Linked DNA regions of Rattus norvegicus. The protein of the gene in region 4 interacts with the protein of the main gene of each other region in a biochemical or structural test. Links are inferred from orthologs where the notes say so. Each region holds a gene or a part of one and is shown on either strand. Other genes may lie near its edges. The genes, in order: Sh3bp2, Pdgfrb, Itk, Plcg1, Erbb2, Sos1 and Lcp2.

Region 1 (4,467 bases), on a different chromosome or scaffold from region 4:
TACATTAAATGAATAAATAAATAAAATCTTTTAAAAGAAGAAGATGAATATAATTTGGGGCTAGAGAGGACTCGGGTTCAATTCCTGGCACCCACACAAGAGCTCGCAACTGTCTGTAACTCCAGTTCCAGGGGACTTGACACCCTCACACAGACACCCAGGCAAATCACCAGTGTACATAGAATGAATAAGTCATTAAGAAAAGGAAGAAGTACAATGTGCCTGGGAGACCCAGGACCCTGAATCAAGGCAGGAGGCTGCAGCATTTCCCTGGGCTGAGGGGCTGTGAGGGAGGTGGAAGTGGGCATGAAAAATGCCCACAACCCCTGTGCACCCACACACGGGACCATCTCTAGCCCTTGAGTCCCCAAACATGGGGGGAGTACTCCAGAGGCACACTGGGGTACTTTACTCTCCGAGGAGGACTCTGAGGTGTGAAGAGGCCCCTCTCTGACTCTTCAGACTCCTCCATGTTTTTACCATGTCTGGGATACCAAGGGCATTTCGATCAATGATCTGCCATCCTCCCTGGTCTGTCTGTTCATCTGTCTGTCCGTCCCTTCCTAACAGTTTCATGCCCAGCTCCAAGAGTCCCTTTCCTATAAATCTTGCCTTTCCCAGGCTCTAGGTTCCCCACCTCCTCTGCCCAGGCTGCCCACTTCCTCTGCCAAGCAGGTTTATAAAAGAACCAGACCTGTCTGTGCCCAGGGAATCTGGAAGGACATGAACCAGGCAGATGATGGCAGGGCAAGAGGTCTGTCAGAGTCTCTGACCCTTGGTCCCCACCCTGGAGCTTTGAGGACAGAACCCACACTGGTCAGTCTTTGTGGACTCAGGTGTTTACCCACAGGACCAATACAAACAGGGACCTGGAAGCCTGCTCTGTGCCCCAGGCCTCTCCAGGCCTGGCCTTGCCCATCACAAGTCAAAATGGTCTGTTGTCCCTGTCTGACCAGGACACACACCCCCGTCACCTGAGTATCAGCTGCTTACCCCTAGCAGACTGTGGTCACTCATAACCACCCTCAGGTAGAAAGTGTTTGCCAACCCTCATGTTACAGAGGTAATGGAGGCTCGGCAAGAGGAAATGCCTGATGAATATCATGTAGATGGATTTGAACCCAAGCCCCCAGCCTGGGTTTATGTCCTTCCATCTGTCCTTCTATGATTAAAGCAGGTCATTTTGACTCACCGGGCTTCCTGGATTTCTGTAGGCCAACATATGCTCATGCACCCATATGGGGACAAAAGGATACTAGGGACTGACTCAGCACCCCACTTCCTCTGAGAAGGAAGTGAAAAGGAAGGGCCAAGGCAGTCCTGGAGTCTACCTTCCTTCCTTCTGTCTCTCCTAGCCCAGCCTCCTGAGCGGGCTTCCATATAACCCTGTAGGGGGCTCCCCACAAAGGCCAGTCTCCCTTTCAACTCCTCTCTTGCCAGGTGAATTTGCCCATCAGTTTTTGGTTCTTTTTTTTTTTTTTTTCGGAGCTGGGGACCGAACCCAGGGCCTTGCGCTTCCTAGGTAAGCGCTCTACCACTGAGCTAAATCCCCAGCCCCTGCCCATCAGTTTTTGTTTACCCTTTAGTTTGTCCTCTCTGCCAGGGTATGTCTCCACCCAGAACCCAGAGCCAGGTCCCAAAGAGGCAGAGAGGGCATGGAAAAGGAGGTGGACAGACCTGTGGTTCACATCTCCTTGGAGCCATCCCAGGCCCCAGGAGTGGAGAGCTTAATCTGGGGCCCTAAGCTGGGCTTCCTTGCCAGGGAAAGAACACAGTGGTCCAAAGAGACTGAAGCCGGTGAGCACAGCACTCACCTAGGTCACCCAGAGTTGACCTGAGTCCATTTTCTCACTCCCAGCCCAGCACCTAACTCCTTGACCTGTGCTGTGAAACAATTCTGTGCATCTCACCGATGATCCAGTAGGTGATATTTCCAGAGCCCCCTCAGGTGGGGTTTAGAATCTTTAACAGGGGTTGGGGATTTAGCTCAGTGGTAGAACGCTTGCCTAGCAAGCGCAAGGCCCTGGGTTCGGTCCCCAGCTCCAGGGGGGAAAAAAAAAGATTGAGCAATAGAATCCTTAACAGTCACATGTAGTAAGTCCCGAGGTCCCACACTGTGCCCAGCAGGGGTGGCTTCTCAGGGGCTCTTATTGGAGTCACCTGCCTAGGAGGCACAGAACTAGCAGTGTCAAGGAACGAGGAGAGAGAGAGAGAGAGAGAGAGAGAGAGAGAGAGAGAGAGAGAGAGAGAGAGAGAGAGAGAGAGAGAACAGGAGCTGCGTAGGGTCATGGGAGGTGGCAGAGGGAGTTGGCTCCAAGGGGGCTCTCAAACTGTTAACAGCCAAGGCACAGAGCCACAGAAGGGTGGAGGTGGAAACCCTCATGTCCGCTAACCTACAACGCTCTGAACAGTCTTCTATCTTTTCAGAGACTCACTCCTCCTCAAAAATCTCCAAACTCCCCACACCCAGTCATTCACTCGTCAGTGTGAATCAGCACTAACAGGTGGCTTTTCTCTTAAACTTCATGGAGCCTTTGTGGGAAGAAAAGTTTGGAGGGAATGAAAGCAAATTCACCTCCTAAGTCTTTGGAAGCCCCGCTAGATGAGCCCTGTAACCTGGGTCTAGCAACGGGTGCCAGGGGAGCCGGAGGGACTGGAGGGACCCAGGACACACGCGAAACAGCAGCCCTCTCTCTTAGACTGAACGCCCAGCCCTGAGCCCAGACTGCCGCGGTCCGCCCTAAGAACCCGACTCCCGGGGTTGGGGGTTTAGCTCAGTGGTAGAGCGCTTGCCTAGCAAGCGCAAGGCCCTGGGTTCGGTCCCCAGCTCTGAAAAAAAGAAAAGAGAAAAAAAAAAAAAGATTTATAAGAACCCGACTCCCACCTCACAGCGGGACACAGGTTCCAGGGACCCAGGCAGGTCTCTGAGACACGACTGTGCCGCGCATGTCCACGACCGGTCCCAAAACCCATGCAGTGCCTTACCCGCCGGTTCCCAGCCCACCGACTCTGCGTCCGGGAGGCGGATCCCTCCTCTGTTGCTTCGCTTTGCAGCCAGCTGGGCGGGCAGCAGGCACTCCGGTGCAGGCTCCGCCTCCAATCTGGCCCCGCCTCCCAGGTTCAGGCCCCGCCCTCGCACTAATCAATGAGCCCCACCCCTGGTCTAACTTCTCCACCCGTTCCCTCTCATGCTCTGGCAGCTTAACACACCTTTTCTGGTTGGTCAGAGATTGGTTGGTGGACTAAGGTGTCTGTAACCAGCAAGCAGTAGGTGCCCACTAGATGTAGGCAGGTGTCTGAGTGAGCAGAGAGTCTTCCTCTCTTTCTTTCTCTCTCTCTCTCTTACACACACACACACACACACACACACACACACACACACACACACCTTTGATCCGGTGGTCTCCTCGGTGGTATCCTCTCTGGGATAGCAGCATGTGTCTGCTGTGCTGGGTGGGGCTGACTCAAATCTAGGCCCCAGGGTTGGGGATTTAGCTCAGTGGTAGAGCGCTTGCCTAGGAAGCACAAGGCCCTGAGTTCGGTCCCCAGCTCCGGGGGGAAAAAAAAAATCTAGGCCCCAGGTAAGGGCACCTGTCACCTGTCCATTAACCCCCTCACAGTCAGGAAAGGTTTGCTGGGAACCTCTGGAATCCTACTAGAGACTTTTCAGCCACATCTAAAGGAAATATTGCCTGTAGGACATGGGCTGGAAATTCATGGCCAGCACTGGGTTGCTATGCTGAAGCCAAGGACTCAAGGCTTCCTGTGCACAGCCACTTAAGCCTTCTGCTAAGCCTATCTATAGGCCTGGGGGACCACACGCAAGGGGCAGGGACCTGGGGAGGGGTGACCACCTAAGAGGAGATGGCTTCCTAAGAGAGCCCTGGGGCCAGGCAGGGATATGAGTCTGGAGTGGAGTCAGGCTGGCAGAAGTCCCCAGGGGAACATATAGGTTTTAAACCTAGGGAACTATGGGCTAAGGAAGGGCTGGCTCTGGAGGGAGCTACCCAGATGGGAGGGGCCTAACTGCTATAGAGATAAGGATTACAATGGATGCTCCAGACCAGGCTGAGGCTGAAGGGGCTGAGTAGGAGTCCACCCGTGCTGAGCTGCTGGCGGGGACTCGGGACATCCATAGCTGCACAAGTGTGGGTTACACGTCCCTGTCCACGTCTGTTCCAGGGCTGCCCAGGTCCAAAGGACCCATACTTAGTTCTTTGATGTGAGGCATCCCCGCAGGCAGAGGGGTTAACTGGGTATAGGCTAGGAAATTAGTTCGGTCAAGCATTGAGCAAATATAGAGAGGCTGGTGCCCACTAGGAAAAGACCAGAAAACCTAGGGCTTGGGAAAGGAGGCAGTAAAAGACATGGGGGAAACTTCAGCCAACGAGGCACTGGGTTCTCCACTGGTGAAGAGGATGAAGAGAGGAGCAGGGAGCATGCCCAGAATCCTAACCCTTCAGCCCT
Region 2 (3,799 bases), on a different chromosome or scaffold from region 4:
TCTGGGATCTTTTGAGAGCTCAGCCAACCCCAGAAAGGTTAGTTTAAGGACTTGACCCTGCTTTCTCCAGACAAGAGCAAACTCCCAGAACACACTAGAATTGTACTAGTGACAGGGTACTCAGAGTCTGTGTGTCCAACTTGCTCATTTTTCAAAGGGGAAAGAAAACCGTTACCCAGAGAGAACAAGGAAGGCCCCCAAGGTCTCATAGCAGGTTCAGTGCAGAGCCAGGGCTCCTACTGGTGAGCATGTCAGGCAGATCCTTAGCATATCACAAGAGTGGACCATGGCCCTGCAGACTCTGGTGGGCAGGTCAAACTGAGAGTGACAAGGGACCAGTTCTAGGACTCGTGGGGCTAAAAGGAGTGGGTGCTTCCTGTGGCCAGGTGTACCCTGAGTGCCGTGGGTGGGGCTGCAGGCCAGAGCATTCTGTGCACAGCTCACCTTCACACTAACAGCATTCATTAAGCATGGCTGGCCCCAGTCCAGCTCGGGCCTGGGAAAGCTAAGACCATGGGAGGTGGGTTCTGAATGAAATGACCTTGTCCAAGGCTGGCTTCAGTTTTGTCGGTTTGGCCGGGAGCCGGGCACTGGGTCTTTGCCCGGTTCTTGGGAAGATCAAAGTAGAATGATCCAGCTGAGGGGCAGTTGCTACACAGGAGGATGTGAACACATCACCGTATACCCAAGGATTTCTACAGGAGTCCGGGCTCCGTACCTGTCCTGTAGCCAAGTGCAACTCTTCCTCTTATATTTGGGGAAACTGAGTCCTCTGGAGGAGCCCTGGTTCAGAATCCTATGACCTTTCAGAAGCAGAGGCTTAGTCCCCATAGTTCTCCTGCCTCCTAAGTGAAGCTGGTCCCTGGACCTTGGGTGGGGCAAACCAAGGGCTTTCCTCAAGGGGACAGCTTGTGGCAGTGTTGCTGCTGGGAGGCCAGGCCAGGCCAGGCCAGGCCAGGCCAAGAGGGTTCGGTGCTAGGAGGCAGATGGGAGTTTCTGGCAGGATGGATGGGAGTCAGTCCCTACAGGAAGCTGTCCTCTGCCTCAGCCAGAGGTCCTGGGCAGCCTGAATCCTGTGGCTGCTCCAGCTGTGCCTCAGGCTCTGCTTGCGGCTCTTCTTGGAGCTCCAGGGGGCTGTCGCAGGAGATGGTGGAAGAAGTGTTGACTTCATTCAAGGTGGAGCTAGAGGAAGGGAATAAGTCAGAAAGGAACCGGGGGAAACCCCAGGAAGATATATCAGCTTTGTCTAAGAGCTTTCTGTGCGTTGGCTTTACATCCTGACAGGCATGTACTACAAGGGGAGCGCAGCTCAGAGAGGTTATGTCATTGCTCCATGACATACCTCAGCTGAGGATGGGAGCTAGAACTTGAGAGCAGGGCTATCAGGCTCTCAGGCTTCTTTCTTATCCCCACTTGTCAGGTACTCATCTTTGCGCTCAGGGAAATGATAGTAGTCCCCCACCCCAGGACTTTTCACTGTTTCCTCCTTCCAGAAAAGGAAATTGAGGTTTGTGAAGGCAGAACATCTGGTCCGAGGTCACAAAACAAAGTGACCTCAGAGTTGACCCTGAACAGCCTAACACCACCCCTACCCACCCCCCAACCTCACACCTACCCTATGACCACCTGACAAGGCCTGCCTCATTAACAGAGAAATGCAGCCTTCAGGGCCTGCAAAGGCCTGCATGCACTATTAGTTCCTACTGAGAAACTGAGGCCCGCAGAGGCAAGGCCTGTCGAAGTTTTATAGTGACAGGCTAGAAACAGAAGCCAGCCTGTGTCTCCTACCACTCATCTGTCTTGATCTTGGGAGTCCCCTCTCTGGCTGAACATCAGTCCAGGAAAGCAATATGGCTCCCCTAGAGTCCACCCTTCAATGGACGCAACCCAAGGCAGACCATGGGTCTCTTCCTCCGTCTGAGTTCTAAGCTGAATTTGCAACTCCTCCATCTTCTATAAACAGGCTTCCCGGGCACGGTGTCAAGGGCAGCCATAACCCAAAGTAACAGCTGGGAAATGCTAAATGTTTCCTCTTTGTCCTCGGGACAAGCACAGGACCTAGAGAGGGTCCTGTGGTGGTGATACCCTTAAAAGGAAAAACAATCTTGCAAATGGAGTCTCAACAACGCCTTTCTTTCCAATCTGCCTTTCTTGCCTGCAGCTCTACGTGCAGAATAAACTTCAGTCTTACTGACCACTGGCAAGAGTTAGGCCTTACTCTAGCTAGCTGACAGTCCTTCTGTGGCAAGTCTGTGTACACATACATGAGCACACGCACTATACACATGAGTGTCCACGCCAAAGGGTCAGGGTGGCTACCTGGCAAGGCTGGGGGAACCCTCTAGGAGGCCCTCATCAGCAGCATCAGGCTTGGGGTCAGGCAAGGGGATGATGTAGTCATTGTCAGTCTCATTAGGCTGCACAGCAGTGTAGAGGACAGAGCTGGTATCCAGAGGGGATCGGAGGCTGTGGAGACCCGGCAAGCGGGCTTGGGACCTCAGGATGGCTGGATGGTCACTCCTCAGAAACTCCTCATCCACCTGCTGGTACTTCTGCACCGTAGGACAGGGAATGAAGAAAAGATGGGTGAGAGATGGGCAATGTCTTAGAGACCCTCCACCCCAGCTAGTGCTCAGAGAACGAGGTCCTGCACAAAGCTGCAATGGTGAGCTGCCCTCCTACCTGGCATCCCGAGACAAGTTCAGAGTCCCCTAGGGAAGGGCAGGGAGCTGGGCATGGTAGCCATGACCCTAACTTCCACCCCACTTCAGAGTAAATAGATATGGGCTCTCATGCCACTGTGGTTTCCCTGTTAGGGCTGGAGGTCAGTGTCCCTTGCAATGAAACAGTGGTGACTCCACTTTGTCTCCATCTCCCTAGGACCACCCCAGATGGGAAGACAAGCTGAGCTCAGGACAGACTGGTTCTGTCAGTCTTGCATGAACCTGGGACAAGGTTTAAGTAGTTGCAGTGAGGGTTCCAGAGAGCCTGGGGTTGCTCACACTTCTGAAGAAGGACCAATGTCTTCAGGGTACACAGGTTTGACAGACAGGATTACCTACGGCACCTCTCTGGGTCACATTAATCAGCTTCCTCATCTTGGTTCTTTTAAAATAAATAAGTTCACAGTTTCTAGGACCAGCAGAGAAACTGAGGCTCAGAGCGGGTGAAGGACATTTCTTCCCAAATCCCAGCCAAGTGCACAGGATTTGGCCAGCAACTGTCTTCTACCCTGCCTTATCCCCACATACCTTTTTATAGCCTTCACCCAGAAGCCTCTCCAGGAGCAGCACCAGCTGAGAGAAGGGGGGCCGAGTCTCAAACTTTTCTTCCCAGCATTTCTGCATGATCTCATAGCTGATGGAAGCAGAGAGAGAGAGAGAGAGAGAGAGAGAGAGAGAGAGAGAGAGAGAAAGAGAGAGAGAGAGAGAGAGGCTGAGGAGGGGCAGCCTGGTGGCTTATTGATCCCAGCTTCCCCCATCCATGACTCTGCACAGTCTAAGACATTGTGGAAATCACTGTAACCTGAATTTGACCAATAGGGATTTTCATCCTCCCAACTCAGGCCTGGTTCTGATGGTATGGGACCAAGCTGAGCCCTTAAAAGGCCAGCGCTGGTCTTTTACTGGAGCAATGCAAGCAGTAAGATGTCAGGGTGTTGCTAACGGCAGCCACATGTGCAGGGCAGGCTTGAATTTGAAGCCAGCATAGAGAAAGTGGAGACCTAGACTGGGAAAGAACTTCCTGATGGCACCATTTTGAACACCTTGATCCAGTTCTAGCAGGATTCGTCTAGCCT
Region 3 (3,799 bases), on a different chromosome or scaffold from region 4:
CACCACCCACGACTTTATTTCTCATTTGCCTACCTGTCTCTGATCTAGGCCGCCAGGAACTGTTTGGTGGGAGAAAACCAGGTCATCAAGGTGTCCGACTTCGGCATGACAAGGTAATGGAAGGGTGTGGGATCAGCTGCCGTCAGGAAGGAGACTCAGCCCTGCACTGTTCTGACCTCTTCCTCGCCTCTTCCCAGGTTTGTCCTTGATGATCAATATACCAGCTCCACGGGCACCAAATTCCCAGTGAAGTGGGCATCCCCAGAAGTGTTCTCCTTCAGCCGCTACAGCAGCAAGTCAGATGTGTGGTCATTTGGTAAGTTTCACCCTGAGCCCGCCCCTGTGTGATCTGGAACTGTGCACCAGCTGTTTCCTTCTCAAATGCAAACAAGTCTACTTTGTTCTGACCCCTGTGTGGAGAAAGAACCCACGAGGGCCTGCGTGAGAACAGCCTGAAATGTCCGAGCAGCCTCTTTTTGCTGCCTTTATCTCTAGATATCTTTAGAACGGCTAAGAAATTAAAAATAATAATGGAAAAGGAGACTTGGGGTAGCTACTGTGAGCTGGAAAGCTGGAGTTGTCGGGAGATTGGAATATGAAGCTGAAAGCAGGACCTTACTGGGTCCAACATTCCCATACTCAATCCTCCGTAAGCTCTTGTCACTTCACCATGGTTTCCTGAGTGTCTGTTACACTCCTGGGCTACTCAGGGGCTGAGAAGCAGGAGGGCACAGGGCAGAAGAGACTTCTATCCTCTTGAAGCTAAACTTTTGGGGAGAGGAGACAGATGACTGTCACTGAAGTGGAGTTTGGGTCCGTGAGTGCTGTGACTCAAGGAAAGCAGCATTGGTAGAGAGTATTTAGGGCGGGGGAAGGGTCCATTTTACCCAGTACGCTCTGGAAAGGCCTTCTAGAAGTAACTCTTGGACAAATGTCTCCATTCAAATATTCATGAAGCTGTGTCCCTGGCAGGGACGAGAAAGTATGAAAACTCAACTACATCCAGAGATAGCAAGAGTTCCTGAGTTACAGGGAGAACAAAGACAGCAGTAACAGTTGGTGGGAATGAATGACATTAACATGTGGGAAAGGTTAAATAACTTGCTGAGTTTGACGTCAGTCTAACTCACAATTTGTGCACACAAACAGTGTGCATGAAAGTGTACCAAATAGCCGCTCCAATATGATGACTGTACAGATGGCACTTCGGAGAGAAACTGCTTTGGGTTGACCTTGCTATTCTATGTGAAAGGTTTTCCAGGGCACAAACTCAGTGGCACGAGCATGGGAGATCAAGTCTCCCAGGGTAAGAATCGGTGCTGCGATCTTCACTTTAGAATGCCCTATTCCCACGAGTCCAGAACTTGTTAATTATGAATCTTTCTGCTCTGTTCCTTAGTTCAACACACACACACACACACACACACACACACACACACACACACACACACCTCTGGGCTTGGCTGTTACTGTTAACAGGGTAGAAGTTACAGGATGAATTTGGAGGCAATTGTTCTGGTGTCTTCCTTGCACAACTGTCCACAAGTATAGAAGAAGGCCAGAGACAACTCGTGGCTATCTCTCTGTGGGTTATAGAGCCACGGACACTGCCAAGGTGGCACCCAACAAAGATGTTTAGAGTGTGAGCTATACGCACTTTCACCAGCACATTGCAGAAGGGAGTTTGGGAAGTCTTGGCGTGTCAACCAGAGGATAGTCTACTGGGTTTTCCAGAAGTCTAAAGTGCATCCCTTCCTGAGATGTGTGATTTGAAAAGAGTCCAGGAATGAGGTTGAGAGACAGGGGTAGAACAGAAACAGGTAGGAGCAGCAGGGCACACTGGCGCATAACACGGGGGGAGGCAGAGGCAGATCTCTGAGTTCCAGGGCAGCATGGTCTACAGAGAGAGTTCCAGGACAGCCAGGGCTTTTACACAGAGAAATCCTGTCTCAGAGAAAAAAGACAGATAGGCGGACAGGCAGATGGGAAGATAGACAGGTGGACCGACAGAAAGAGGAAGAAAAGAGAAAGACAGACAGTAGTATGTGCAAACCACAGCAACCTGCAGGCTACGAGCCTCCTGCCTGGCTCAGCCTTGTGGGTTTTGTCATAAACGCAGTCTGTGTGATTTATCCCATTGCTTTTATTGAGCGAGTCAGCAGCCTCTATAAACTCTGCCTCTTCATGCCTCAGAGGGTTCACGTTAAAGCAGTCAATACCCAGTAGCCCCAACAACTCACTTCAGAAGACACCTTACTAGAAATCCTAGCACCTTGGGACACTGAACAGTCTTCCTCACAGTCAGATTCTGATTTCCAGGTCTTTGGGCATCTCAGAGGAGCCTGCAGGTTAGTGACCCCAGGAGGAGGGTATTAGGGTGAGGTTCAGAAGTCTCCCATTCGAACAAGTGTAGGAGCTGGCTCTTAGTGGGTATTTGAGAATCAAACTTTGGGGAACTCCATCCTCCAGTCCTGTAGTTTTACCCCTCTGGTCAGGACACCAGCAACCTCCATTTTTTTTCTGAGTCTGTGATCTGTCAGTACACGAGAAAGACAAAGCTGAGGCAGCTTGTATATGGATGAAGGAGTGAAGAAACATACTGTGGGAAGATGCTTTCCCCTCAGTGTCTACAAACAAGTTAAGATTCTGTCTATGAAATGCCTGACACCACAAATGGTTTAGACTTTAGGTTTGGAATATTTGCATGTATATATACGTAAAGGTATTTATAGCTACGGTGTGGGGTAGGAGAGAGAGAGAGCAAGAGAGCTTGGGAATGAAACTGAAGTCTAGACATAAATCCATTTGCTTTGTATATACCTCAGAATCTCTCCAGAAGAACTAGTGGCCTTTTCTAGACTCCTCAAGCACATGCACACACATGGCGATCATTCATACACACACACACACACACACACACACACACACACACACAGAGAGAGAGAGAGAGAGAGAGAGAGAGAGAGTAAAATAATATTTTAAAATAGAACAATGAAAAAAATTAAGGGAAGGCCTGATACTGCACTTCCAGACGTCTAGAGGGGTAGACTTAATACTCACTCCAAGGGCCCTGTTGCTTGTGGGCGTGAGTCTCTCTGGTACATGTGCACCTTCCCCCTAGCTGTTTTTCTGTTCACTGCTGCTTCTAGGTGTACTGATGTGGGAAGTCTTCAGCGAAGGCAAAATCCCATATGAAAACCGAAGCAATTCAGAGGTCGTGGAAGACATCAGCACTGGCTTTCGGTTATACAAGCCCCGCCTGGCCTCCCCTCATGTCTACCAGGTCATGAATCACTGCTGGAAAGAGGTCAGTACACAGGGAGATTCCCCCTGGATCGTAACACACACTTTCAGGGTCCGCATCAAGCGAGAAAGGACATGACCTACAAGGATGGGGATCAAGGAAGACCATAATAAACAGGCAGGGCTTTGTACATGTTTCTGCATATAATCATGTTTTAACTATACGTACATAGGGAGTACAGTATGATCTTTCAGTGTGTGGTTATCAATGTGGTTCCTTGGCTTTTATTGTTTATTTCTTTTTTATTGTTGAGTAGTACTCCATTTGTATGGACATACCATAGTTGGTTTATTCATGTGCTTACTAAAAGGAGCTCTCAGTTTCCAGCAATTATGAGAAAACCTGCTATAAGCATTTACTGCATGTGAATCTATTAAAGTGAATCTAACGGACATAAATTTTCAACTCGGTTGGGTAAATGCCTAGGAGTGGCTGCTGGAACATATGTTAACACTGTTTAGTTGATTTAAGAAGCTAAACGCTGTCGGGTTGTGT
Region 4 (3,799 bases):
CATGTAGGATGTCCGATGCACAGGTGGAAACCACTGCGTCAGATGAAAGCCACAGACCCAGACATCACCTCAGTACTCATGCCATGTGACTTAAACCAGCTGGTTCAGCACGTGGTACACTGCTTCGCTGTGGCCTGGTTTTTGTCCTGCTCCAGCAGAGGGCTACAGGAAAGGCTCAGAAGGAGTAACAGGCCTCCCTCAGCATGGTGGGCAGAGCTTCTGACTGGCAGTTAGAGGCGAACAAGAGCAGCACCTGGCAGCACATAAGCAAATGTGACTGCTCTGAAGTAGTTTCTGTGCAGTGGGAGCTGAGCTCGCTCCTTGGCGGGGGTGGACTTCAGCAACACCATTAGAAGGTGAGGGGGCAGAGGGGGCATCACATTTTAGAGCCACAGGCAAGAACTCTGTGACTTCCCAAGTCTCCAGGGAGATTATACCACACTTGCTTCAATTCCCAATCACCATGTTCTCCTGAGCCCCCCAAAACCAAACGAGTTAAAAGAAAAAGGACATGAGGATGATTTATTTGGCAGTCAGATCTTAAGAGGGCAGCAGAACTAGCAAATGGCCAACCCTGAGCCCAAATGTGGGCAGTGGGTTTGCGTGTGCTGAATGCTGGCTATGCTGAGGCACCTTTGCACCCACAGGCCTGGACCCCACCCTGTCCTCAGAGGTGAGGCTTACCTTCCCATCTCCTTTGCATCTTTTTACCAACCACACAGAGACTACCAAGCAGCAGCTTCATTTGGTGCCTACTGCCTGACTCCACTTACCCATGTCTCCATTCCTTTGGGAGAGCATAATGAGCCTTCCTTGCCATAAAAACAAAAACGCTCACCAGGGTAGACATCGATTTTCTCTCTTTCTGCCCCTCCACCCTTCTGGACAGTGCCCTCTTCCAGTAACAACACCCCATAGAGCTGCTGTTCCTAAAGGCTCTGTGCTGGGTCTTCCCTTCCAAGGTGAGGAGCAGGACAGAATAACTTAGTCACAATACCACTGAGAAGAAAAAAAAATAATACTGCTATTTATCATGATCCCCTGTATCTTTCAGGCTGGGTAGTATACCCAGCCGTGGGCAATGTGCCCTTGTGCTGTCTTCCTCCTCAGGCAGAGCAGAGCCTTCTCCTTACAGGCCCTGCATTCCTCTGACCTGGCTCCAGGGCCAAGCCTCAGGGCATCTACTCTTTCACCCTGACCAGCTGTGGTTTTAAAGCTACAGGACAATGTAAACTTTGTTCCCCTGGCCCAGCAAGGCTCTTCTTCCTCCTCCTCTTCCTCTTTCAGGAATGTGTCAGCAGCTCCTTGAAGCTTCCTATGCCACCAACTGAGGCAACTTCTCTTTCCAAGGGGCTTCAGCCCTAGTCCTGGCCCAAGATGGAGGGACCCACCTCCACATTCAGGGCCAGATGTGTGTGCTTAATGCGAGACACAGTACAGTTTTTTGCCTTCACCCAGAGCTGGGCATGGAGGCCCAAAACAGTACATCTCATTAATGGCTTGGTTTTGTCTAGCCTTCACCGCTGGAATCCAGGCTCCAGGCTGTGAGACCAGGAAGGCTTTACAGTAGACCGCTCCCAGAGAACCCAGTTCATGGCATTCCACAGGTGGCAGCGCCTGCTGCTCTCCAACAAGGTAGGGGCATGACTAGAGGCGGTTGTCTCCATTGACCCGAGTCCTTCTTGGGGCCCTGAACAGAAGTGAAGTGTCCTTATTGGCCTTGCAGCCAGACAGGACAACCCAAAAGCAGTTACTGCTTTTCCACATAGGAGGAAGCCGTCAAAGGACTGCTGTTCTTTCTGGCCCCAGCACCCTTCCTCCAAGGCCCCAAACTGGCCAGTTTCCCTGTCATTCCCTCACCTTCGTTCCCGACTGTCAAAATGGTCTGCGAGATGCTCCTGCGAGATGCGGAAGTCTTCAAATGGCTGCTGGTATCTGGCTTCAAAGGACCCTTCCCGGGCCCGGACATGGAACAGCTGGCTGGAGGCATCTGAGGCCCGTTCCCTTAGGGATGTACCACTGAAAGGGCTGAGGTCACCATTCTCCTGCTCGGCAAGGGAAGTGCACAAAAGCTGAGGTGTCTTCTGTATCTCAGGGGCTAGGACTGAGCTCTCTGCTCACTCTGCTGTAGCTATTACCTTAGCAGGGAAAATGTCAATCTTGATGAGCAGGGAGGCCAACTCCAGGTCTTCACTGTAGTTGTTCTTCAAAGGCACTGCTCTGTATCCTAGGAGAAATACCTGGCTCTCAGCCTAACAGGTGTCACGCAAGTGGATAAGCCCCACCCTGACACCAAGATGTTACGTTAAGGAAGATTCCTCACCTGTCTTCAGGCCTTTTACTGGGAAAGTAGCCTGAGCCAAGAAGTTCTGGTCACTAAACATGTCTTCCTCATACACCACAAAGCGCAGAAAGGCAAACTCTGGGTTACTGATCTGGAAGTGGAAGGGCTTTGCAGGCCACACAGGGTTCAGTCCATTGTCCACTGTGAAAGCAAGGGCAAAAGCTGAGGCCACATCAAGGGGGTGTGATGACTGGTAGAGAGGTCCGTACACCCCAGGAAAATAACTGGTAATGGGGGACAACCGACTGACCTACAAACTCTGTCTTCTGCTTGGTGCTGTCGTACTCTGCCCCAGCCACTTCAATCTCCACGAAAGGACACACAATACCCCGGCCATTCTTCGGCAGATGCCTGGCCCCCAGCACCTGTGAGGCAGACAGGCAGAGACGGGGTGAGGACTGTTGACCCCAACATCCTCACAGCAGAGGCTTGAGGAGCACATCAAGGAGGAAAATGTGCCATGGAGGCAGTATGCCCCCTGCTGGGCCCTGAAGGTGCTGGCCATTAGGCCCCTCACTGTTCCACTCCAGAGCAAGCTGTTGACTGTGAAAACCTGAGCTCTAGCTAAGGGTCATACGCACTTTGCAGTCCATTTCACATTAAATCCATGTCTGTTGCAATGTGAGAATCTTTTAATTTATTCCACTTTAGGAGAAAAGTCTGGGAAGAAGCAGTCCACCCGTCCCCCTGTGCTCCTGCTGGCCACAGGCTAGCCTTATTTTTTCCAGACTCTGTTGAAGCCACCTCTGCTGATTCCCACAGCAAGGGCTAGGCTGACCTTGATCATAGCTCTTCACCAGACATGTACTGGGGAGCTCTATTCTAGGAACTGGTTAAGGAAACAGGCTGCTTGGCCATGCTCTAGCAAGCCCAGGTCTGGCTTGGTTCTGCAGACAGCAGCCTGGCTCATTGCAGACCCTTTAGCCTGATTTGTGCCACTCTGACCAGGTTCCTCCTGCCAGGTAGTGACTTTCACAGGTTAGGCTTAGGTTGACAGCCTAACTCTTTTGTGCCCAAACTGGCCATGATCAGCCATGCTACCTTTGGGATCCCAACCCTCACAAAGCTCGTAGCTCCCCATCTCAGATGGTTCTACTTCAAGCTCGAGAACAGTTCAAGATAAGTTCCCTTCCCCCACACAGGACAGCACTGCAGCTCACCTCTGGTGCTGCCCTCTCCCACTTGTGCTGATCCACCTGGTCAATATCAATATTCTTCATAGCCCTCTCCCGCCCTGAGGCACCCAGATAAATATACCCACCTCAATGCAAATGACACAGGGCTCCAGACCTCGGAGACTGCTCTTATCAAAGGGGTCAAAGGCTTCATCTCTCATGGTGCTTGGCTGCAGCACATAGCCACAGTGTCCACCAGCCATGAAGAGGGCCTGGTTCATCTGCATAGGCTTGTCTGGAAGAGTGGGATTACAGTACATTCTAGCGGAACTGCCCTAAG
Region 5 (3,799 bases), on a different chromosome or scaffold from region 4:
GGTGACCCTTCTCCAAGTTCTCCCAAAGGCCTGAGACCCATCCAGCCCACACCCTTCTGCTCCTCCAACCTTGCCCCCATCTGCATGGTACTCTGTCTCATCAATGTCCAGCAGCCGAGCCAGCCCGAAATCTGTAATCTTGACGTGGTTGGGACTCTTGACTAGCACATTCCGGGCAGCCAGGTCCCTGTGTACAAGCCGCACGTCCTCCAGGTAGCTCATCCCCTGGACAGAGGGCACCAGTGTGGATCGTGAGTCTAAATCTCACCTTAGGGACACTCCCACCTCATCCTGGCCCCAAATGAAGGCAGGGACTTGCACCCAAAGGATCTCCAGAGCCAGCAACCCCTAAAGCACATACCTTGGCAATCTGAACACACCAGTTGAGCAGGTCCTGGGAGCCTAGGCGACCTCGGTGTTCTCGGACATGGTCCAGAAGGCAGCCGTAGGGCATAAGCTGTGTCACCAGCTGTACTGTGGATGTCAGGCAGATGCCCAGGAGGCGGGACACATACGGAGAACCCACACCAGCCATCACATACGCTTCCTGCAGACGAGGGTACAAAGGGATACAGGAAGCCACCTACTTCCATCCACTCTCCTCTCCCAGAGACCCTCACCCATCCCTCACTGGCTACAACCAGAGCCTCCAGACTAGGAAGGTTAAGAGTCAAGGTTTAGGGGCTTCTATCTCAAACCCTGATGAGGAGAAAGCAGCCCAGATCTGCACCTGGGAGCTCCTCACATTCCCAAGGGGGAGCATGAAGGGGAGGGGCTTCTCACATTCCCAAAGGAGACAGTGAAGGAGGGGAAGGTCCTCACATTCCCAAGGGGGAGTGTGAAGGGGGATCACATTTCCAAGGGGGAGCCTGAAGGGGGTCTTCTCACATTCCCAAGGGAGGCCGGTGAAGGGCTGGGGTCCTCACAATCCCAAGGGAGAGGGTGAAAGGGAGGCTCCTCACATTCCCTAGAGAGGAGGGGCTTACATCTAGAATTTCTTTGTTGGCTTTAGGAGATGTGTTTTCTCTCAACACCTTGATAGCCACGGGGATTTTCACATTCTCCCCATCTGGGATCCAGATGCCCTGAGCAAAAAGAAAAGGACTTGAATCAGGCTCCCCAACAAGCCATTGAAGAGTAGCCTCCAGCTTGGCTCACTCCTGTCTCTTGACCCTGCCCCTCCCTTAGATCCACCCATGCCAGAACCTGGTCCCTCCTGACCTTGTAGACAGTGCCAAAAGCTCCTGATCCAAGCACCTTCACCTTCCTTAGCTCCGTCTCTTTTAGGATCCGCATCTGAGCCTGGTTGGGCATTGCTCCGCTGGGCGTCAGCGGCTCCACTAACTGAACAGAGAGGGTAGTAGGTAGGGTGAGTGCTGAGTATAAGCTGTAAGTCCGAGGGGGGCACTAGGAGGCCCTCACCATGCCTCACCTCAGTTTCCTGCAGCAGCCTACGCATCGTATACTTCCGGATCTTCTGTCTCCTTCGTTTGATTAGGATTCCAACGACCACCACTAAGATCAGGAACAGCAGGACGCCCACTACAGTTGCAATGATGAATGTCACCGGGCTGGAAACAGAGCCAGAGTCAGAGATTAGGGGCTAGTCTGAGGAGGAAGCTTGGAGAGACCCCCATGAAGGGACAGGAGTGTTCCTGGGCTCCAAAACTTCATGGGAGAAAAATGCATCAAAGGCCTTGTTAGTCTGCACTGTGCAGCCCACCCCCAGGGGCTTCTGCCACACAGGAAATAGGGTCTAGTAATATGTACCCCAAGACTCTCAGGTACTAGTCAAAGCATTCTTCAAGGAGCCTTGCAGTCGCAGGTTCCCATTACCAGGACCTTTATTTCTCCATGATATAATTGTCTATGATTCAGCTCATCTTGGGGCACACAGGGTCCCTGGATTCTCATGAGACCATTATTGGTTGGTATACTTAGTTTTGAGGCTACCTCACGAATAGCCCAGGCTGGCTTTGTATTCACAATCCATGTGCCTCAGTCTCCCAAGTGCTGGGGTTACAGGTGTCTGCCACATGTCCGGGCAGAACTCATTCTTGTCATCCTTGCTCCCTGAAACCCCATCTTGCTCTGCATGAGGCCTGTCGTTAGAGCCAGCATCTAATGTTTGCCTCACAGGCGAACAGCATACCCTAGACTGCTTTTCTCCCTTCTACCACTCTCCTCTGACAAACCAGAGTCCCATGGCCCAGGGGTCAAGAACTCTACCCTACCCTCCAGATCTGTGTATCTCACAACTTCAGTTTACACCCCTCTGCACTGGTGTGGCTCATAGCACACACCAGAGAGTTCTTAGCCACCCTCGATTTACATGACTCTCCACCTGAGGGCACAAAAAGCACAATACTCCATCCTGGAAGCTTCTAGCTGCCCAGCTAGAATACTCTCAGGCTCTGCACGCTGTCACTGCATCCCTAGGGAACTACATTTCCCAGCATCCCTTACCCCACAGCATCCTGAGCAGGACTATCCACTTGTTGAAACAAAAGTTAATAGAGAAAGAACGGGACTAAGGAGAGAGGCACATGCAGCATGCTGGTTAATCTCTCTTCATTACTGACCACCGAGGCCAATGAAGGAGTCGGGGGTGCGGGGGTACCTCTGGGGGCCCACCTGGCTCTCTGCTCTGCTGGGCAGCCTCGTTCATCCAGATCCACACAGCTGCAGAAGAGAGAGAGAGTGCCATCATCAAACCTGGGGACAGGCTCCGGGGGTGGGCGTGGCAGGATTACTCCATGTGACAAACAGAAACAGGGCTCCAGGTCACCAATTTGTTCTGTACCAGCCCACAAGAAGATTCCCTCTCCAGTCTGGGAGCCCACCTCCCCTGCATTGCTATAACTTCCTGTGCTGAGAGCAGGAAGCACTATTAGGGCGGGAAGGTCAGCTAGCCCCTCCACAAAAGAGGCCTAGGGTATATGGTACATGGAAGGAGAGTTTGAGGAGATCTATTAAACACACCGGGGCAGGGCTACAAGGAAAGGGTCTACAAGGTCCTGGCATCCATCTCCACCCACCAAGCAGTAAAATATCAACAGTTCTGCCTCAACAGTCGGTACTACCATGCCAACACCAGGTCACAAGAAGGCATGCACACAGACGCCCCTTTGTGTGTAGAGCTGAACAGCAATGGGCTGGTTTAAAAAAAAAAAAAATCAGGCCTTACTAGAAGAGGAGGAGCCTAGTCTTACTGCAACTTGATATGCCATCTGAGAGGAAATGGAGGAGGAATGGATTGGGGGTTGGAGGGGCTGAGGGGAGGGGAGGAGGGAAAGCGGTGGTCAGGATGAAATAAATAGGCAAGTGAGAGTGACATCCCTCAAACAGGGCCCGTCCTGAGCGACATGCTCTGAACTGAGACGTTTGTAGAGGGGTAGATGGAGATGCCCTTGTAGGAGAGGATGCGGAGCCAAGTTTCACCCCCCTGAAAGAGCAGCGAGTGATCTTAACCACCTCTCCAGACCCAAATGTGTTATTTTTGTAATTAGAAAAGAGATATAAGGGCTGGAGAGATGGCTCAGTGGTTAAGAGCACTGACTGCTCTTCCAGAGGTCCTGAGTTCAATTCCCAGCAACCACATGGTGGCTCACAACCATCTGTAAAGAGATCCGATGCCCTCTTCTGGTATGTCTAAAGAGAGGTGTAGTGTACTTATATATAATAAATGAATAAAAAAAAGAGAGAGAGATAAAAATTACACCTCAGTATAAGTTAAACCAGCCTCATATTATCGCACCCTTCTCGTAATACGCTCTAAAGAGGCTCCTGTCATGAAGAC
Region 6 (3,799 bases), on a different chromosome or scaffold from region 4:
CATCATGAGAAAAGTAGCTTTGCACACATAAGGAGTAAGACTGCTGGACCACATAAAACTTACGACCTTACTGAAGTATCCTTAATGTATACTCATTCAAAATAAACAAACAAACAAGTGAGTTAGTTGTAGTTTAGAAGTGCTAATTATGAATTATTTCTGTCAAATACAGTAGCTTAAAAATTACAGAAATGTTTTAGAAGCAAATTGTAAATTTTACAATATATAAGTAATTAATAAATTTAATTTTTAATAGAAAAAAGAACACCTTGCTGCACTGAGGTAAAATTCATAGGATGAGTTACTCTAAACACTCTAAGGTTACTCAGGGCCAAGTCAGTCCCTGCAACTGCAGGGCTGCTGTCAATCCACAGGCTCATTTCTTTTAATTGAACTTGTATGATTTTTCCTTTGTTCTTTTCATAAAAATTAAGCAAACCATATGAGGATAAAGCAAACAGGTTTTAAATTCACAAGGATTTACAAACAAAGGCAACGTAGCAGGATAGACAACCTGACCTTTTATTGTTGAGAAATTACTTGAAAACCATAGCAAAGTACTGTTATGTGTTCTGATTTTAAACAGTGTAGGGAAGGCTGATGGTTGTGTGGATAGCTAGTTCATAGTTACTAAAGACTGTAGCTCTTTAAACAGCTTTGTATGTAACAAGAAAGGTAATCTATTTACCTTTTATGTAACTACTGGGCAGCTTCCATTTTCTTTTAAAAATTTTAATACTTCTTCATTCTTGAGTAATAAACACCCTGACTATAGTCCCTGGGTGAGAGTTTATAGTAACCCAGAACCCCAGACGAGGCTTCGCAGACTGCTCAACGTGCCCCAGCCCCTGTGCGCGACCACTGAAAATGTAAGTCAGAGAGGCCGAGTGAGTCACTGTAAGAACTCACAACTCACCTTTGGAAAACACTGTCGATGTCCAAAAGCTAAACAAAACTAAACTCTGGCTTATAGACCAGAGATGTGTAGATAATGGCAGCTACATTCAAAAGTGGTTTTAAATCACTAATAAAAAATAGTGCTCAAGTTTACCTGCTCTCCCTTTGGTAATTCCAACCATATGAAGCTCTTGTTATTGAAGGGAAGGCCTTGTTAAATGACACTGTTTACAAAGTGGGAAAACTAATGGCTGTTTTTAAAAGGCCAATCTCACTAGCACCAGAATAGATTCCAAAGGAAACAGAACTCACTTAGAGGACATTTTAAAAGCGGGAAAATAAATATTTTCCGCAGAAACTTACACTTCCTAAAAATAGGACTGTATTTAAATGAGAAGAATGGGGATAGAGGTTAAATTTCACATTCTAGTATCTAAGAATACCATATTATAATTTTAAACACACATTTCTTTTAAAGAAAAGAGTTTGAAAATTTCCATCTAAACTCAGAAATAGCTTTCACATCCAGTGTTTCGTGTGTGCTTTCTGACAACACACTGTGGTATACATTTGATGTTAATGTTTGAGAAGAAGACTATGGTTCTGGGATGTAACGGGAGCCTGATAGGTGACAGAGCAAAGTGTGAGCTCAGTGCTATCTGCTCCACCCCAATTCTGAGATGACAGTTATCAAACTCCCCACTATGTGTCAGACCATGTAAGATGGCGTAGTATGCCCTTTACCTCTCAACCACTGTATTTAATTCTACCTAGCATCCTTCTAGGTTTTCTCTAAAACCTGTTAAGGTAACCGTTTGCATCAGTAACATTAAGAACAAAATACTGACAATGTGAATGGCCTCCAGGCCTCCCCAAAGGATGGAGGGATGGAGAGTAAGAAATACGTGTTTCTGCCACCAGCACAATTTTGATGATGGGTAAATATTTGATGTTTTAGTCTGTAGCCCAGTTATAAAATAAGAAAAGAAAATACAGGGGTGGAAACCTTTAGACAATCACATTGATGCTTAGTTTTCTTTCTACTGCTTTTTACTGGGCAACACCAGACAAGTGACCATTTCTCTTTTGTAAATATGATAGAAAAGGTAAAAGCTTCAAAGAGAACAGAGTGAAGGTTTAGCCGACTCCTCTACGTGAGAAGGATTTGCTTGCTGTTAGTTTTCTACCTCAGGCACAGTGACCCACCCGTGGAGTCAGTCAGTCAGGAAGCAGCCTCCCCCGAGTCTCACCTGCGTACATGTGGTACGTGAGCCTCTCAATCAGCTTAACCACTGTCCCTGCCTTGATGATGGGGATGCCAGCCTTGGGCTGCACGTTCTCTTCAAACAGAATGTTCTCCTCAGAGTCGGGCTCTGCAAACCTGTACACGTCAGCACTCGGCAGCCTCATGTGCTCCTCCTTCTCCTCCTGCAGCATTGTAACGTCCAGCATTCTCTCCAGCGTGCTGCGGTACTGCAGGGATATCAGGGCTGCCATCCAGTTATTCTTCTCTTCAGCTGACTTGGCAGAAAATATAACACTATTTCCATCCTTCAGAATTATTTCGAAAGCGTGCTTGTATTCACTGGTGTCATCCTTATCGTTAATCTGTACCTTTCGCATAAAAAACTTTTCTTTAAGCCGATATTCTGCATTGCTAGCACCAGGAAGTCTTGGCTGCCCATGATTTGATTTACAGCAAATCATTAAGCCATCGAAGAGAAATATGTGTCTCTCGTGTTTGGCTCCTACACGTGTAAGAGTTCCTTCCATTATAAACTCATTGCAGCATTGTCCAATGTCTTTCCCCTCCCAACCATCAATGTTCTTCTGAATCTCATTCATCTTCTTGATGGCCAGTTGTTTCCCCTTCATTTGCTGGCTGTAAAACCGACATGCAGACTCACTGGGGTAAAGGAAAAGATGCTATTAGTACACAGAAGACAGACTTTATATAGAGTTCATGCAGATAAGGTGGCAGGGTAAAAGACAACTTAGAACATCACTGACATGTGTTTACTAATTCCCCAAATAATACATGTAATTACGCACCTATAAAAGCTAAAACAGCACAGAATTTTTCAGAGTTATAAAAAGAATAGTGATGTTGAACTATATAAAGTCAGGTACAAAACAATTATCTCTGCCTTGAATATTAAACACTTAGAAAGATAACTATAAAAAAGTAGCCCAACACAGTAAAAAAAAAATGAGATATGAAAGCAAATTGTAAGTGTTTTTAAATGCACAAGACCCAGAGATAGAAGCACATGTTACAAGGGGAAAGCAGATCTGCTACCTGCATCAATGTCTGAGTTATACAATCCCCAAACTAACCAAGCCTACGAACCTGCCTCTGACATAACAATGACGCCGGCAGATCTGCCCGGGACACTGCTCTGTCCCCTTCAGCTTACCAGCCGCTCCTCGGGAGGCCTTGTCTGGGAGCAAGCAGGGAAAATGCACAAATATGAAAGGTTTTTCAAACAATAACAAATTCTCCTGGCTTTGATGTCACTTCCTCTGAGAGACCAAGCTTGTCACTAACACCGTTTTCTTTATTGTTTACTCAAGGAGGGAAGCTAAGGCCCCTGAATTTGTACCACAACTTTCAGGATAGAAAGGAAGAAACTTTAAAATGGGAATATTTACCTCAGTCTTCGTTTTGCAAGATTTTTGGAGCAAATTTTTTCCATGCCACTTTGGACATTAAGCAGGGCTGTTATTGCTTGTTTCATACACTCCTTATCTTCTTGATCTTCGCTCTTTTCTTCTAACTGCTGTGGAAAGGGCAGAAGGAGAACCTCACTTTATTGAAGGATAAATAATGCTCATTTAGCTCTCCCTACTCCAGTAATTTTAAGTGTTCTATAGATGTATTATTTTATGTTATGAGTGTTTG
Region 7 (4,403 bases), on a different chromosome or scaffold from region 4:
ACCAGCTGGGCTATACTCCAAGGACCTGTCTCAATAATAATAATTTTAAAATACGATTGTTGTCACCTCCTAGTTTGGAAGGGCAGACTGAGCATTGCACTAAGGAAGCTGATTTCTAGGTCAATGTCCAGAGCAGATAGCATCTGCAATACCCTGCCATCTCCTTGACCCACATGCCAGGTGTATAGCAGGCTCTTGGAACTACCAGCTTCCTTTAGTTCATTTTGCTGTGATCACTCTCAGATGAATTGCTGGTTCTGTAGAGTGCTGGTTTTGACTCTAAACCAAAGCTAGAGTTCTAGCCTTGAACCTGGAAATTTGATGTAGTCCAATAAGAACTGAGTTTTGGGATCTAAAATTTGTATTTTTAACAAGTACCTCAATAATTTTGATTAGCACTCAGGATTGATAGGCACTGATCAAGTGGTTACTCAGCTTTGTAGGTGATGGTGACTGAGGCTCAGAGAGAATGGTCTGGCTTAAGGTCACATGGTGAGGTAGAAACCCAACAGGGTTGGAACACACGACTTTATAAGCCAGTGACTATCTAAATGGCCCAGGAATGCTCTCCTACCAGGACCAAACCAATTGGAGGAGTTAAGAATGAGTAGACTATGGCCTTAATCCTCATGGTTTCTATCCCAAATGCAGGGCAAGACACACATATCGGAGGCAATGTGACACAAAGTCTCCCTAGGCTGTCTGAGCTTCCCCAGCAGGGGGTGGTTATAAAAGCAGGACAATAGAACATAGAACTCAATGCCTCCCACACATTTCCTTTCCACCTCCATCTCATCTGGTTAGTTACTGTTCATGCCTCTCTTTCACTGATTAGAAAGTTCAGGTACACAAAGGAGAGGCAACAAAAAGAAGTCCCTAAGCTAGCTGGAAAGAGTACATTTAATCCAAAACATGTCTGACTCCAAAGCTGGCTAGAAGTCACAATGACCCAACCCTACTCCTTCTGTAGAAATCACACTTGCTGGTCAACCATTTACATGTACAACTCATCTCCAAAGAGCATCTTTAAGTGACTCTGTGGTCATTGCACAGAGTGCTTTCTCTAGGGACTGATGAGCTGGATGTCTGAAGGGTCTCTGTGTCTCTGGTAGGCAAATGGTCCTTCTAGAATTGCCAATTGCCCTACCCCTGGCTTCCTTGTTTCTTTCCCTCCAGAAGACAAAGCCTATCCCTAGGATGTGGCTTTCTACCACAGGCCCGCCCTGTGAAGAAGGGAACTTGACCCACACAGTATCTGTGGCACTGTGGAATTACATAATCCCCTAGTTACACTTGAATATGGGGCCCTTTGTGTTTCCTGATTCTTCCACAGACTTCCCTGCCTTAATTTTCAATCCCCATTCTCTCTGCTCTACTGAGCTAATTCAGGTCTCCACTGAGCCACAGCAAACTGTGCCTTTCTGCCCTACCTTACTTGGTTCCTAGTTGAGAAAAGTATTTCAAAAACATACCTCAAAAGTCAATTGCCTAATCACATCTCCACCCACAGTGTGGAAAGTTTGTGATGAGCTTATTGGAGGGAAAAGTAACCAAAATGAGATTCACAAAAGGTGGCAAATAGCAGGATCTGTGCACAGTGTTCTTGCCATGCCACACCCAGTACAAAATGCTCACATTTTCTACTGTAGGTTGGGAAGGAACCGCTGTAAAGATTACAGATTTGACTATATGCCCCAAGGGGCCTATTCTATCCTCTTGGGTCTCTATTCTTTAGAAAAATAGGAGTCAAAGTAGATGACGTCTGTGATCTTAGCTTTAGAACATCATCTTCATCACTGCCTGGAATATTAGTGGAATATGAAGACAGCATACAGGGATATGAACAATAGAAGCTCATGTCTTTCATAAGATCTCTTACCTCTTTGGCATGGGTGCCCAAGAGGAGTTTAATGGCTTGGGATATGCCTATGCAGATATGTGGTCCCCATTAACAGTTAACAAGGACTCCTTCTATCCTGGAAATCAGGACAATAGAACTCTGGTCCAGCCTGACTTCTAAGTCTGCTGAACTTGTCTTCTGTGTCCCTAACTATCTTAGGGCTCATGTCTGCTTTCTGAACGGCTTTCCAGGATTCTCATAAAGCTCTAGTGAGACTCTGGCCAATAAAGAGACTCTAGCCCTCTTCCAGGGTCATGAACCTTAGATGTCAAAAACACTAGTGTTCATCCAGCTCTCTGTCCTTCCCTCCTGACTTGCCTGTTCATTTTCCTACCCCAGGACTCCCCATCTCCCTTTCTAGTGAGTAGTCTTTACCACAGTATGCTTCTGCAATCCAGAGCATGTGCTTTAAAGCTGGATAGGCATGACTCCAATCCGACCTGATTGCAGAGGACCTAAGAGCTTTGAACCACTTAAACTCCCTGAGTTGACTTTTCAGCTGAGCAAAATAATAATGTCGTTATGACACAACATTGTCAATGTAGATTGTTAATAAGATAACACTGAACTCCCATGACAGTGGGTTGTGTCTGGCAAGACACAGTCTGTAAAGCACTGGATGCACAGGTGGTATGTACAAGGGACTTGTGCAGCTGAGGGCCCCCTCCTTCATCTTTCTCTTCAGGACACATTACCAAGAAAGCAATGTCTGTCTGTCTCCTAGTATCCACAACTATCCCGTACGCCTTCCACATTCTATCCAGATTCCACCTCCAGTCTCTGCCCACCCAACTGAAGGCATACCAGCCCAACCAGAAGCACAAGAGGGAAAGACTCACCTTCCTGAAATAATCAGCAAGGTTGTCTGGGTTCCAGGCTAAGACCTCTGAGCGAAAGGGGACATTCTTCAAGGCCATGGCTGCTATTCAGGGAGAGGCTCACAAACTGGGGAGAGGTGCTGCAGCCATGAACAGAGAAAAAGCCCAGATCCAGAGTTCAGTGGTGTCCTTGGTTCTTCTGATTTCCAGCTACCGTCAGGAACACCGTTGTTGAGCAGGAGTCTTTTCTGCTGTAGCCAGATCCCCAAAAGCAGCGGCTTCCCCTGTGAACAAATATGGTCTCTTCTCAGAAAACGACTCAGCTAGTTTCCTTTACCACTTCCTCTGCTGCCTTCTAAATAAGTAAACAAGGAAGGACAGTTCTGGGGACTCACAATGCAGAGAGACAGAGAAACAGAGAGGAGAGAGAGACAGAGAGACAGAGACAGAGACAGAGAGACAGAAACAGACAGAGATAGACACACACAGAGATAGAGACAGAGACACAGAGAGACAGAGACAGAAACAGAGATAGACACACACACAGAGACACAGCGAGACAGAAATAGATACATACACACACACACACACACACACACACAGAGAGAGAGAGAGAGAGAGAGAGAGAGAGAGAGAGAGAGAGAGAGAGAGAGAGATTGAGATGGTAACTCTCCACTGGCCCAGACACCCTAGCCAAGCAGGATGAACAGCAAAGGGGACTTAAACTCAAGTATGTTTTTTTCCCATTAGAATTACAGACACCCAAAGCTGGACACCATATTTATGCTTGGCTGAGTCTTTGCAGATAAGAATCTCTTTTTGACAGTTTCCTAAAACTATCTATAATTTCATCTATTAGTGAACTATAAGAGAAGGAAGATGGTTCTTTCAATGTTTTCTGACCTCCTTCCCCACCAGTTTGTTCTTATTGAAAGCTGAGTGGCCTCCAGTTGCTTCTTTGTGTTATGATGCCTGGGTTCTTAGCAGCAAGGAGTCACGGTGAAGGCTGCTACAGGGCAGGGACCAGCTCCATTTCTGATGTGAATGATTGTGCACTGTAGTCTTGAGCATGGAATGACAGTCTAAGTAGATGGTTTCCATATCTGCAAGGAAAGGAAACAGAAGGGTTATACACATAAAACTTTGGTGCATTTGCTAGGCAAGTGTAAGCATTAAAAGTTTAAACAATCATTGCTATTGATGACGCACCTTCTATACACTGCTTCCTTGCCTTATAGTCTGTCTTCCATTGTTTTTTCCATATATGGCATTTGCTACTGATTCTACCATATGTCTAGACAAAGAGTATATTGTCTGGAGATAGGAGATGGAGATCAGTTGCTTCCTCCTCCAGCCTCAGACTCTATACACTTCTCACAGACTGAAACAATCCTTGGCAGTGAGTGCAACCTGAGGTTAAAAGCATACTTTGGTGCAATAAGGCGACCCGTAAATGCAGGTTAGCCGGTGTTCCATTTATGTATGTGTACATACATGACTGCACATATGGGAATGTACATGTGTGCATAGCTCTCTGTTCCAATGTTTGAATAATACACCATTGGTAGCTGAGGTGCTGTCCTGAAGGGTTGTCCAGGGTAGCTTTAGTCATATATGCTCTTCTTCTATGTACTACAGGAAGCCCTGCTGCCTCTAGTAGCTGTCTCAGCTACTGATTGTGAGCT

The links.
Region 1: the proteins of Plcg1 (region 4) and Sh3bp2 form a complex in vitro, tested with the Homo sapiens proteins (2 studies listed by BioGRID, with this or other methods). The link is inferred for Rattus norvegicus from reciprocal best matches to the Homo sapiens genes PLCG1 and SH3BP2.
Region 2: the proteins of Plcg1 (region 4) and Pdgfrb form a complex in vitro, tested with the Homo sapiens proteins (3 studies listed by BioGRID and IntAct, with this or other methods). The link is inferred for Rattus norvegicus from reciprocal best matches to the Homo sapiens genes PLCG1 and PDGFRB.
Region 3: the proteins of Plcg1 (region 4) and Itk form a complex in vitro, tested with the Homo sapiens proteins (2 studies listed by BioGRID, with this or other methods). The link is inferred for Rattus norvegicus from reciprocal best matches to the Homo sapiens genes PLCG1 and ITK.
Region 5: the proteins of Plcg1 (region 4) and Erbb2 form a complex in vitro, tested with the Homo sapiens proteins (2 studies listed by BioGRID and IntAct, with this or other methods). The link is inferred for Rattus norvegicus from reciprocal best matches to the Homo sapiens genes PLCG1 and ERBB2.
Region 6: the proteins of Plcg1 (region 4) and Sos1 form a complex in vitro, tested with the Homo sapiens proteins (2 studies listed by BioGRID and IntAct, with this or other methods). The link is inferred for Rattus norvegicus from reciprocal best matches to the Homo sapiens genes PLCG1 and SOS1.
Region 7: the proteins of Plcg1 (region 4) and Lcp2 form a complex in vitro, tested with the Homo sapiens proteins (2 studies listed by BioGRID). The link is inferred for Rattus norvegicus from reciprocal best matches to the Homo sapiens genes PLCG1 and LCP2.

Annotation. Positions count from the first base shown.
Region 1 is NC_086032.1:80,434,820-80,439,286, forward strand, and holds the start of Sh3bp2 (SH3 domain-binding protein 2), read right to left. Parts: upstream 3,020-4,467; 5' UTR 2,974-3,019; coding exon 2,885-2,973; intron 1-2,884. UniProt on the Homo sapiens protein: Binds differentially to the SH3 domains of certain proteins of signal transduction pathways. Binds to phosphatidylinositols; linking the hemopoietic tyrosine kinase fes to the cytoplasmic membrane in a phosphorylation dependent mechanism.
Region 2 is NC_086036.1:56,804,747-56,808,545, reverse strand, and holds part of Pdgfrb (platelet-derived growth factor receptor beta precursor), read right to left. Parts: intron 3,358-3,799; coding exon 3,252-3,357; intron 2,553-3,251; coding exon 2,320-2,552; intron 1,183-2,319; coding exon 1,023-1,182; 3' UTR 1-1,022. UniProt on the Homo sapiens protein: Tyrosine-protein kinase that acts as a cell-surface receptor for homodimeric PDGFB and PDGFD and for heterodimers formed by PDGFA and PDGFB, and plays an essential role in the regulation of embryonic development, cell proliferation, survival, differentiation, chemotaxis and migration.
Region 3 is NC_086028.1:31,260,410-31,264,208, reverse strand, and holds part of Itk (tyrosine-protein kinase ITK/TSK), read left to right. Parts: intron 1-48; coding exon 49-113; intron 114-197; coding exon 198-316; intron 317-3,149; coding exon 3,150-3,307; intron 3,308-3,799. UniProt on the Homo sapiens protein: Tyrosine kinase that plays an essential role in regulation of the adaptive immune response. Regulates the development, function and differentiation of conventional T-cells and nonconventional NKT-cells.
Region 4 is NC_086021.1:169,832,749-169,836,547, reverse strand, and holds the end of Plcg1 (1-phosphatidylinositol 4,5-bisphosphate phosphodiesterase gamma-1), read right to left. Parts: intron 3,755-3,799; coding exon 3,606-3,754; intron 2,710-3,605; coding exon 2,595-2,709; intron 2,486-2,594; coding exon 2,324-2,485; intron 2,253-2,323; coding exon of another isoform or gene 2,248-2,252; exon of another isoform or gene 2,228-2,247; coding exon 2,139-2,227; intron 2,046-2,138; coding exon 1,861-2,045; intron 1,691-1,860; coding exon 1,648-1,690; 3' UTR 508-1,647; downstream 1-507. UniProt on the Homo sapiens protein: Mediates the production of the second messenger molecules diacylglycerol (DAG) and inositol 1,4,5-trisphosphate (IP3). Plays an important role in the regulation of intracellular signaling cascades.
Region 5 is NC_086028.1:83,924,529-83,928,327, reverse strand, and holds part of Erbb2 (receptor tyrosine-protein kinase erbB-2 precursor), read right to left. Parts: intron 2,683-3,799; coding exon 2,635-2,682; intron 1,572-2,634; coding exon 1,433-1,571; intron 1,345-1,432; coding exon 1,222-1,344; intron 1,086-1,221; coding exon 987-1,085; intron 548-986; coding exon 362-547; intron 226-361; coding exon 70-225; intron 1-69. UniProt on the Homo sapiens protein: Protein tyrosine kinase that is part of several cell surface receptor complexes, but that apparently needs a coreceptor for ligand binding. Essential component of a neuregulin-receptor complex, although neuregulins do not interact with it alone.
Region 6 is NC_086024.1:20,327,460-20,331,258, reverse strand, and holds part of Sos1 (son of sevenless homolog 1), read right to left. Parts: intron 3,678-3,799; coding exon 3,550-3,677; intron 2,804-3,549; coding exon 2,148-2,803; intron 1-2,147.
Region 7 is NC_086028.1:19,145,420-19,149,822, reverse strand, and holds the start of Lcp2 (lymphocyte cytosolic protein 2), read right to left. Parts: upstream 2,978-4,403; 5' UTR 2,818-2,977; coding exon 2,740-2,817; intron 1-2,739. UniProt on the Homo sapiens protein: Adapter protein primarily involved in signaling pathways within T-cells, as well as other immune cells such as platelets, mast cells, and natural killer (NK) cells.